Linked DNA regions of Astyanax mexicanus. The protein of the gene in region 2 purifies or fractionates together with the protein of the main gene of each other region. This does not show direct contact. Links are inferred from orthologs where the notes say so. Each region holds a gene or a part of one and is shown on either strand. Other genes may lie near its edges.

Evidence for each region.
Region 1: the proteins of cullin-9 (region 2) and glmna purify together in Homo sapiens (affinity purification with mass spectrometry; 3 studies listed by BioGRID and IntAct, counting the BioPlex papers as one, with this or other methods). This does not show direct contact. The link is inferred for Astyanax mexicanus from reciprocal best matches to the Homo sapiens genes CUL9 and GLMN.
Region 3: the proteins of cullin-9 (region 2) and apex2 purify together in Homo sapiens (affinity purification with mass spectrometry; 3 studies listed by BioGRID and IntAct, counting the BioPlex papers as one, with this or other methods). This does not show direct contact. The link is inferred for Astyanax mexicanus from reciprocal best matches to the Homo sapiens genes CUL9 and APEX2.

The regions. Positions count from the first base shown.
Region 1 is NC_064411.1:55,061,173-55,064,927, reverse strand, and holds the start of glmna (glomulin, FKBP associated protein a), read left to right. Parts: upstream 1-1,500; 5' UTR 1,501-1,609; intron 1,610-3,755.
Region 2 is NC_064414.1:18,295,944-18,299,698, reverse strand, and holds the start of cullin-9, read right to left. Parts: upstream 2,490-3,755; 5' UTR 2,309-2,489; intron 500-2,308; 5' UTR 495-499; coding exon 1-494. UniProt on the Homo sapiens protein: Core component of a Cul9-RING ubiquitin-protein ligase complex composed of CUL9 and RBX1. The CUL9-RBX1 complex mediates ubiquitination and subsequent degradation of BIRC5 and is required to maintain microtubule dynamics and genome integrity.
Region 3 is NC_064419.1:39,158,659-39,162,413, forward strand, and holds the start of apex2 (DNA-(apurinic or apyrimidinic site) lyase 2), read right to left. Parts: upstream 2,945-3,755; 5' UTR 2,871-2,944; coding exon 2,756-2,870; intron 2,294-2,755; coding exon 2,210-2,293; intron 1,030-2,209; coding exon 849-1,029; intron 646-848; coding exon 502-645; intron 384-501; coding exon 314-383; intron 1-313. UniProt on the Homo sapiens protein: Functions as a weak apurinic/apyrimidinic (AP) endodeoxyribonuclease in the DNA base excision repair (BER) pathway of DNA lesions induced by oxidative and alkylating agents.

The DNA.
Region 1 (3,755 bases), on a different chromosome or scaffold from region 2:
ACAAAATGCCTTTATTCATTTATGTATGTATCTATTGAAGTATTTATGTATTAATGTACGTATGTATTTATTTATATATTTATTTATGTATTTGTTTACATATAGTTGTGTATTTATTTTTTGTTTTGCGTTTGGGGCTATAAATGAGAGATTACATTCACTTTTTTATCCACTAACAATATACTCAGAGAGGAAAGGACCGCCTAACTAATTAACATATAAATACAGGAATAAATAAATAAAGAAATATGGTGGTACGTAAATAAATACGTGAAGAAATGTAGAAATTCATCAATAAAACAATAAAAGAAAAATGTATGTATTTATTTATTTTTAAATAGGATTATTTATTTATCTACTTTACAATCTAAGCTGTTTTTAACAAGAGTTTGGGGCTTTAAATGAGAGATTAAATTCACTTTTTAATCCACTAACAATATACTCAGCGAGGAATGGACCGCCTAACTAATTAACATATAAATACAGAAATAAATAAATAAAGAAATATGGTGATACGTAAAAAAAAAAAAGTGAAGAAAATAAATACAAATAAATGACTAAACATATGTATTTATTTATGTATTTATGTAATTATCTATATAACTGTGTATTAATTCGTTTATTTGTTTATTTATACGAATAATTTATCCATTATAAGTTAAGCTAAGTTAAGCTAAATATAGTGTAAGGACAAAAAAAAAACACAAACAAGTATTTAGGGCTATAAATGGGAGATTAAATTTTCTTTGAATCCACAAAAAATATATAAGATATGACATAAATGTAATTATTACCTTTTCCAGGACAAAATTATTATTATTATTATTATTATTATTATTATTATTATTATTATTATTATTATTATTATTATTTATTTATTTATGTATCGAAGTATTTAGGTATTATGTATGTATTTATTTGTATTTATTTATTTATTCATGTATTTATTAATATAATTGTGTATTTGTTTATTCGTGTATTTATTAATATAATTGTGTATTTATTTATTTATTTATTATTTTTTAAATATAATTATTTATTTATCTATTTTACAATCGTATGTATTTTCATATAATTGTGTATTAATTCATTTATTTGTTTATTTATAAGTAGAATTATTAGTTTATCTATTTTACAAGCTATATATATATATAAATAGATTCGTCAATAAATAAATAATTATTAAATAAATAAATCAATAAATAAATAAATAAATGTAAAAACTCAGAAACAGGACAAATAAAAGTTAATGGATGAAAGATTTCTTTTATATATGTAAGGATAAAATGAATGTATTTATTAATTTATGTATTTATTTATATAATTGTATATTTATTGATTTATCTACAGACCACTTTATTTATTTAGGTATCTATTTATTTATGCGTATGTCTTGTGCTCCATACACTTATGCCCAAGTGTCGAGAGGCTCCCTACGTAGGGCACTTCCACTGGATTTGAGACGCTCTCATCATGACATCACAGCTCTACGGCGAGCGAGGAGGGACAGTTGTGTTGTAAACTGCGTTGCCTGTGTTGAGGAGAGGCGTGTAGCTGAGCGGCGGCTCTCAGAGCGTTTCTCAGCTTTTCCCGCAGCTTTTCCCCCGCAGTGAGTTCTGGATGATATTCTGCATTAGTGTAGATTCATTACAGCGCGGTGTAGCATTATTACTGTTTATTCCGGTTACCCATGTGCTGATCCGCGTGCTGTGTAGCGCACGAGCCCTGGATCTGCCCGCATTACAGCTCTACCAATTCTTATACGCACTTTACACCAGACTGCTGATCTCAGACCAGGGCTTATTATACTCATTTATAACCACACTGAGTCTTTTACTGCATAAATACGAGTTAAAATGTGTGTAAATTAAGTTTTAGTATTATGTAGATAATATAACTGTAGTTTTGTATTGTAGTAGCCTGTAGTTATTGTGTATTCTCCTGCAGTTCGACCCTCTTGGACTAAGCTGGTCATTAAGCTGGTCATATTGTTGTGGCCAGATTGGTCATGGTGTTGGACCCATGTGGACCAAGCTGCTCATCAAACTGGTAATATCGTTTTAGATCAAGCTGGTCATATTGTTGTGGCCAGATTGGTCATGGTGTTGGACACATATGGGCCAATCAAGTCATAATGTTTTGGCCAGGTTGGTCATTGTGTTGGACCCTCGTGGACCAAGCTGGTCATTAAGCTAGTCATATTCTTTTGGCAAAGTTGGTCATGGTGTTGGCTCATCATGGACCATGCTGGTTATCAAGTTGGTCACGTTGTTATGGTCAAGTTGGTCATGGTGTTGGACCCTTATGGATCATGCGGTCACATTGTTATGGTAAGGTTGGTCATGGTGTTGGCTCATCATGGACCATGCTGGTTATCAAGTTGGTCACGTTGTTATGGTCAAGTTGGTCATGGTGTTGGACCCTCATGGACCAAGCTGGCCATCAAGCTGGTCATATTGTTTTGGCCAGGTTGGTCATGGTGTTGGACCCTCTTGCACCAAGCTGGTCATATTGTTTTGGCCAGGTTGATCCTGGGGTTGGACCCTTGGGGACCAAGCTGGTCATATTGTTGTGGCCAGGTTGGTAATGGTGTTGGATCCTCATGGACCATGCTGCTCATTAAGATGCTCATATAGTTTTGGACCAAGCTGGTCATATTGTTTTGAAACAAGATGGTCATATTTTTTTGGCCAGGTTGGTCATGGTGTTGGATCCTCATGAACCAAGCTGGCCATCAAGCTGGTAATATTCTTTTGGCCAAGTTGGTCATGGTGTTGGACCCTCATAGACCAAGCTGGTCATATTATTGTGGCCAGTTGGACCATTGTGGAACAAGCTGGCCATCAAGCTGGTCATATTGTTATGGTCAGATTGGTCATGGTGTTGGACCCTCTTGGAACAAGCTGGTCATCAAACTGATCATATTGTTTTGGCCAGGTTGGTCATGGTGTATGGAGTGAATTTTGTGCCAAAAGTTTTACGTAAAAAAATAAAATCCACAATCAAAATTTTAAGAATCAAAAGTAAAACATGTATGTTGCAAATTCAAAAGAGAAAAAATATATATCAAATATATATATTTAAATATATTTGGTTATTTTATTATTCTTTGCACTTATTTGAAAATTATTTTAGTTTGGATTTTGCCAGTCTTTGCTTTCATTTTTGGATTTTTTTGGATTTTCTGTGGATTTTTGTGGATTTTGCTGCTAAAGACTTTTGCTTCTGGAATCTCTCCTTTGCTTCTGCTTCATTTTTTTGCTTCTGATTTTTGGCACACTTTTCACGGGTGGGCGGGGCTTAGAAGAAGGCGTTCCCCTTTAATCTCTATTGGTCACCTACCCTGAACCCTCGTCTGAGACAGAACACGCCCACCCCGCCAGCTTCAAGCGCTCTTCCAAACATGGCGGAGCGAACGGGGTTCAGCTCACAGCAGCACCAGCAGGTACTTTTCCAATTAAATTTCATACAGACGTTATGTTTAATGTTATATTTCTTTTTTAAGTAAGTGTTTAACTCTATTAAGATGCTCATGTTAGCGGGGTGTGCTAAATATCCATGCTTAAATTATACTAGTTAGTTAGTGAACACTAACCTACCTAGTCAGTGAGTTAGCTAGTTTACCTAGGTCATCTGGTCAGTGAGTTAGTGGGTTAGCTAAGCTAGTTAGGTTACCTAGTCAGTGAGTTAGCTAGTTAACCGTAATCAGCACTTACTTGGCTTTACCCTGGGGCATAATAACTAGCTTAGCTAAC
Region 2 (3,755 bases):
AGCACATGAATGGTGTGTGTGAGACTAATGGCGAAATCACTGTTTTTGGCCATCTGTTTTCGCGCTCGCTCGACAAGGTTCTTGACATCATCTTTCATATCCGACAGCTCCACCTCGTCAAACGTGACGTCGGGAGAGAACTGACCACTTGGCCGCACCTTCTCCTCCAGCAGAGGACGCTTGCCCAGCAGCGTGGGGCAGTTGGCATACACATCCTCTGTCGACATCCACATCAATATGTTTTCCGTCTTACTTTCACCAGAAGAGGACCCGCTGGAGCCGCCAACACCAGAGCTACCACTACCCCCGCCACCTGCCTCGTTACTGCTGCCGCCTGAACTGGTGCCATCATCCAAAGCCAGCAGGCTCCAGCGGATCAGGTACTCTGTCTGGCCATCATGGGTGCGCCTCTGGCGAATCAGCTCCTCTGGATAAGCCTGCTGTTTTGGCCCCAACTGAACCAGGAGGTTCCCATTGCGGCGCTCGCCCACCATTATGGCTAAAGGTTGAAGATAAAGACAAAACATATAAATATTAACACTAGATTCAAGACTGAAGTGCCTACATAAAAAGTTAGATAACACAGTCAAAATAACATCACAAAAAAGGTACAGTTTTTATGTGCATGTTCAATCAGCAGGTCCAATCTTGTTAAACGGTTAAGCTATGTAAATGAACGAGAGAGTGTGAAGTGAAACTGAAAGATGAAGTGCACAACCAGCAACCAGTTCCAGGATGAAACTCTAGCTGCTGAATCATTTAAAAGAGAGGGGGAGACACATTACAGAAATGTAGGGGGAGTCCTCAATGAGTCATTTCCAAGCATTTGTCAGACCCAGAATAAAAAGGATTCACTATTTAGATTTTAAAACTAAAGTACTGGGAAGATAACACACTACATCACTACTTTGTCATGTGTTGGACACTGGACCTTGCTAGTTTCAAAATGTAAAACAAAAAAATAGTCAATTAGTCAGCGATTATTTCTGCCATGTTCCCCATCCCTAAAAAACATAGAAACAGCTAGATTTAAAAGCATTTTAAAATGTCTAGATGTTGTTTAAACGTGGAAAGTACAGATATTTAGTGAAAAAATATGTAATGTGTTGTTTTTGAGCATTTTTGTTGAGTGTAAACTTGGTGAGTGAACCATTTACCCATCTCCCACTGCACTTCTGTCTCCAGCACATTGTGTATTGTGATACTGTTACAAATGAACAATTAGTCGACAAATTTAAATAAAGAACATTGTTGATTATGTGGACTAATAGTTGTAACCCTACTGAGTTGGCCACACTCCTACAACATATTGGACAGCTACAGTAAGATTCAAACAGATTATACATAGTTATATTTCTTGATAGGTCCCAAGCCTAAGTTCACTACATTGGAGAAAAATGATTACCAGGAGTTACAAAGATATCAACGTGTCTGGACCATAGACTGCAGTTATATGCTGGATGCTAGCTTGTTTACAGAGTCAGCTAACGTTAGCTAACAGTAACTAGCTTACCTAGATTAGCTACATTTACTTTTAGTTACATATACGTTTATTTTAGCTAGCTAACAGCTAACTAACTAATTAACGAGTTGGCTACAGCTTTCTGATATCAACCAGCTGGCTGTCACCTACTCCCAAAGTTAGTGAGAACATTATTGCAGTAAAAGAACTGCACTTACAATCTCAAAAATTATTTAGTTAGCTAGCCCATTAACTAGCTAGTGAAACACGGGCCCGTCTCATTCGCTTCTCCCTCCGTTTGGGACTCTGTGCACTTAGTTTCGAGTGTCATTACATAGCTGTCAGTTCTCCCTCCCTCTGCCAAACAACAGCAGGCTAAGCTAAGCTAAGCTAAGCTACCCCTGTCTTTACCGGACGAAAACACAACCGAACCGATTTAGCTAAAAGGACATGTTTGTTCCCAGAAGGGTCCGCTAGCTGACTTCTGATGCTGACTCACTTCTGGGTAACGCTATCTGTCTGAGTCAGCCACTCCCCTCCATGCTAACCGAGCCGCTCACTCAGCCTGTGTTCAGGCTGGATCCGCTCTCTGACAGGAGCTGCTAGTCGCAGTCCACGTTTCTGTGAACCTGGCGCCTAGCAGGGTGAAGTGGACAGGGATTAGGGCAGTGGTTGAGACAGGGCCCTGGCTCAGTTTAGCGCACATACACAGGGCTGGCACCTGGTTACATCAGCATGCTGGTTTCCCCACCGCTGAGCCCGGAGCCCGGGAGCAGCGCGGCCTGCGGAGTAAAGTTAACCCAGCTGCTCCATCCAATAATAATAAACACAGCCGCTCCCGCTCACCTGCAGCGTCACACGACCTCTCCTTCACCGCTTTCTCCCTCTGTCGACGAGGTTTTTTCCTCCTCCGCGAAGAATTGTCGTTGCCCAGCCTGAACTCGTTGTTTTTCTCAACTTGCCAGTTTCTTTTTCATCCACAACATTCGCAGCCTCGGAGTACAGACTGCAACTGACATCCGGTCTGGAAGCGGAAACTGTGTTTAGTAACCATAGACATCTCAGTGAGAGAGAGGAGTGAGATAGGAGGGCGGCTGTGAGTCAGCGGCCTCAACAGGAGAAACCGAGAAACACACTCAAAACCAGGGGAGGTGAACAAGTAAAACACACTCAAAACCAGGGGAGGTGAACAAGTAAAACACACTCAAAACCAGGGGAGGTGAACAAGTAAAACACACTCAAAACCAGGGGAGGTGAACAAGGAAAACACACAACCAGGGGAGGGGGACAAGAAAAACACACTCACAACCACAGGAGGTGAAAAAAACACACTCACAACCAGGGAAGGTGAACAAGAAAAACACACTTACAACCAGGAGCAAAAAGAATAAATGGATAAATGCCTTGAAATACTTCAAATCAGATTTTTATTACTTTTTTATGTATTCCTGAATCGGCTATGTATCCAATCCATGGACATGTGACATGAGTGTGAACGGTCAGTCAGAATTTGTGCATCTTTTTGCTTTTACGCATGCGCTACGTGCTTCTCTTGTACCCACACATCTCTTGGTGCAGATGTGCAGCTATAGCAAAAGCAAACTACCTGGCCTTTTTTTCACCTCCTCGACCTGAGCATGTACTCCAGAGCTGTTTGCTCTCCACTCAAGCAAAAGATGCTCCACGTATGAGCTGCTAATGCATCCATTTTCCTTTTTTGCTGTTGGTGAAGAAGGCGACGTTTATCAGCATATCAGTATGCACTCGTGAGGCGTTTCAGGGCCAGATTTGTTCACATACACACAGATACAGGTCACTTACATTTGTGAATGTAAATTTTTGCAATTACCCTAAACAAACAGCCAGAGCTACAGTGGAAGCCTGACCTAAATCCCACTGAGCATCTGTGGCAAGACATGAACGTTTCTGTTCACAGAAGCTCTCCATCCAACCTGGTTGAGCCTAAGCTATTTTACAATGAAGAATGAGCAAAAATCTCCAGATGCACAAAGCTGGTAGAGACATACCACAAAGACTTGCACTTGTAATTGCAGTGAAAGGTGGCACTAAGCTGAATGCTTATAATTTTTATTTGATTAAACTTTTGCTACTTTGTGTTGTTCTATGACTCTATGACTCACTTCTATGATCTCAATAAAACACATTTACGTTAGTGCTTGTAAGGTGACAAATTGTTGAAAGGTTTGAAGGGTAAAAATACTTTTGCAAGCCACTGTATCTGGGTCCCACTTTTTTCCTCAGTTCCTTTATTCTGTCTGTGTTTTATGCATTG
Region 3 (3,755 bases), on a different chromosome or scaffold from region 2:
AAACTGCAGGCGATGCAGAATAAGGATGAAATTAGCAAAATAGTACATGTGTAAATTACTGCATAGTAGGTCTACTTCTTTTAGTGATCTGGGATTTCCTGTTTTTTTCAGAGGTAAATAACTGCCACAGTTTGCATACTGACTGATATGTTAAAGAAGCCTCCTGGGGAAATGTTTAAATGTGTGTTCTAACAGGTGCAAAAACAGGGAGAATCTTTTTCTATCTGAGCATGATCAGTGCACGTACATAGCTACTTTAGGCTCCTACTTTAATAGATATAAACAATGAACAAAGATTATGTTAATTACTGACCACATCGTCTGGGTCACAGTGATCTATAGGCCGATGAGATGTGTTGATATCCCCCAGAATGATCACATGACTAGACAGAAAGAAAGTGATTAAGCAATGCAAATTAAATGTAAAAAAAAACATAATGGAACTCTGGATTAAGCTAAACCAGCAAAACATGTATGCAATTTTACTGATGTCCTTCTTACCTTCCAGACCCCACAATGGCCTCTGCTCGACTCTGTAGGAGCCTGTAGAACTGCAGCTTGAAGAGCTTCCTCTCTGGCTTTTCTGGATCCGCACGTGGGCAGTACACATTAATGACAGTGAGTGTCTCTGGGTCTTCTGCTCCCCTGCATGAAACATTCAACATGGGAACACATTTCAGCATTGACAGATGACAGTCATTGTGTACCCATCACATACTCATCACCAATCATCAGTTGTACTGTACTGAACTGTAAAACATCTTGAAAGTACAACAAACACAATGTTTTAATATTAAAAGGTCTGAAGATGTTATGACACAGACTTGTGGCATTCCATGAAAGCTTACATTAATTTATGCTGAGTGATGACAGCCCGTCCTTCACCATCTAGTGAATGTAACTCTTCAGTGGAGAATGCAGTCTGGTCCCCATAGCATCCAACAGCCTCTCCATTGTTGACAAGAAGCCCAGTCAGTCCTTCTTCAGCAGCGAATGGTGTAGCACTGTCTTTACAGAAGGTTGCGACTCCTGTTCAGAATTATAAAGTTATCAAAATATTGCATCCAGTCCCTGTCGGAATGTACATAGTTGACTGATTCTGTTATAAATTTAAAAATTGTACAAAATGTTGGACACAAAATCTTTTGAGAACTATTCTATGGCTATTGTATGGCTAATTAGCCATTTCTTATTTTGTCTGCAAATAAATGCTTTAAGTGACAATATGTTTATTGGGAATTTGGAAGAAATGTCTGTAGTTTATAGAATAAAACAGCAATGTTAATTTTACTCAAACATAAACCTATAAACAGCAAAATCAGAGAAACTGATTCAGAAGCTGAAGTGATCTCTTTATTTTTTGCAGAGCTATTGTTAGCTAAGCTAAGCTAGTGTATCTGCATACATGAACTACTATAGCAGTGTCTTTTAATCCCCTGAGTTCCTGAAATACTGTAGTTACTAGGGGTGTCACGATTTCGATATTTCATCGAAATCGATCGAAACTATGTCATGGTCTCGAGCATCGAAGTCAAAAAGAGGATTGACGATCCCTCCCGCAAATGGCGCAGCGCGCTACGCAAATGGCGCAGCACACTGTAGCTCAAAAAGCAGCCCTTTCTCTACAGAATGTGGACATTCTCATCTTCTTAAAGAAAAACTTGAAAATATAAAAATAATAGTTGTTTTGTCTAATATGTTAATAGTTTTGGTACCTTAAGGAGCATCTTTCTCTCAGATAAAGTTAATAATATATCTTTATTAAAGAAAAAAACTTGTCATTCTCAGGGACTGAATCTTATTTTTCATGTTTAACTGTTATAGTAGGATAGAGTTCAGTTTGTTAAGGCTCTAATTTTTTTATTTAATTAATTTAATTATATTTTATTATTTATTTTGTTATGTGCACACTGCTGCTACCAAAAAATGCCACTAGATGGCATTACAAATATATCTTAATTAAATTATTTAAATTTGACCATTAGTGCCTAATGTGCCTCAAGCCTGCCTTTTAAAATAAGATAAGATATTGTAAATTTGATGAATCAAACCAATGACTGACCATAGACTAATCTAAAACTGGCATAGGCCTCTCTGCTGTAAAAAAAAGAAAAAAAAAGAAAATCGAGAATCGAATCGTGACACTAAAATCGGAAATAAAATCGAATCGAGGATTTAGAGAATCGTGACACCCCTAGTAGTTACTAACCTGAGTATCCACTGCGTCCTCTGCTGAAGCTGAAGTAGGAATTATATCCATCCACTACTGCAGTCCTCTCATCCAGCAGATCCCCTGATCCACACATAATAACAGATATAACAGATTAATACTCTGATTAACTGTGTAAACATGCTAACAGCCATGAGTTTCTTTAATGTTACCAAATTAAAAACCTCTGTAATATAATCAAGAGGATGATGAATGATCAAAACCAAGCCATCAAAACCAAGCTAAATTGCTTGAATTTTTGCACCAGGAGTGGCATAAAGTTACCCAAAAGCATTGTGTAAGACAGGTGGAGGAGAACATGCCAAGATGCATGAAAACTGTGATTAAAAACCAGGGTTATTCCACCAAATAATGATTTCTGAACTTTTAAAACATTATGAATATGAACTTGTTTTTTGGGGGGTTTTTTTGCATTATTTGAGGCCTGAAAGCTCTGCATCTTTATTGTTTTAACTCAGGCTAACAGCCATCCAGCCTCACTGCTAAACCTCTTTACTGGCTGAATAACATAGCTACTATACTCACGCGTGACCTTCGTCTCCTGAACACAGATAATATCAGCGTTAAACGAGTCCAGCGTCTTCTTAATGCCATATTTAAAACTCCTGATTCCGTTTATATTCCAGGTAATAATCTTCATATCTGTCTCAGAGCGGCTGACAGCGTCCCCGCGCCACCATTACCACACAGCTCGGGATCGCGCGCACCAACTCTCGCGAGATTATACTGCGGTCGCGCGCTTTTCACGGAGCTATGGCAACCGGTTTCAGCCAAAAATCACAACACAAATTTATTACTTAAATCTCAAACTACAGGTCTCAGTTTTACAGGGTTATTAGTATGATTATTTTCTAATATATCAGATTTACAGGTTTATATATATCTACAAATCCATTCCGAGGAGATTAATGACCAGAACCACATTATGTAATTAATTTAAAATAAAATAAATTAGGTTTATACATGGGTCATTCCTGGGATTGGGTGCCATTTGGACAACAAAACCTTTTGAAAAGGAAATACTGTTATTATACTTTTTTCACATTTTATTGTGAAAGGGGTATGTTAATTTTTTTAGGTCAAGCTCAGGCATATAATTTGTAGCATTTATTTAAACATTTTTATGAAGTCTCTGACCTAGAATGTCCACCCTTTTACGGACATATGCATAACTATTTTAAAGATTTATGGTTTTAAAATGATAATTATCTAGGAGCCATTATGTCCCTTTTTAGCTTTAAAGTAATTTTTTTATTTATTCTTTATTTTTTAAAAAAACAGATACTTTATGAATTGTGTGTTTGAATTCCCACCAGCACATGATTTCACTTTTTTATGTTTAGATTAAAATTAATTCTATATGTATTTTGATTATTTTTAAGGATGCATGCTTTGGCCTCTTTTTAGGCAAAATATTACAATATTTTTTTTAGATTCAATACATGCTTTACAGTAAAAATAAAGAAACACGAAGAACATAAACAAAATATGATAGTAATGGATTTTTAAACAAATTAATTAATCA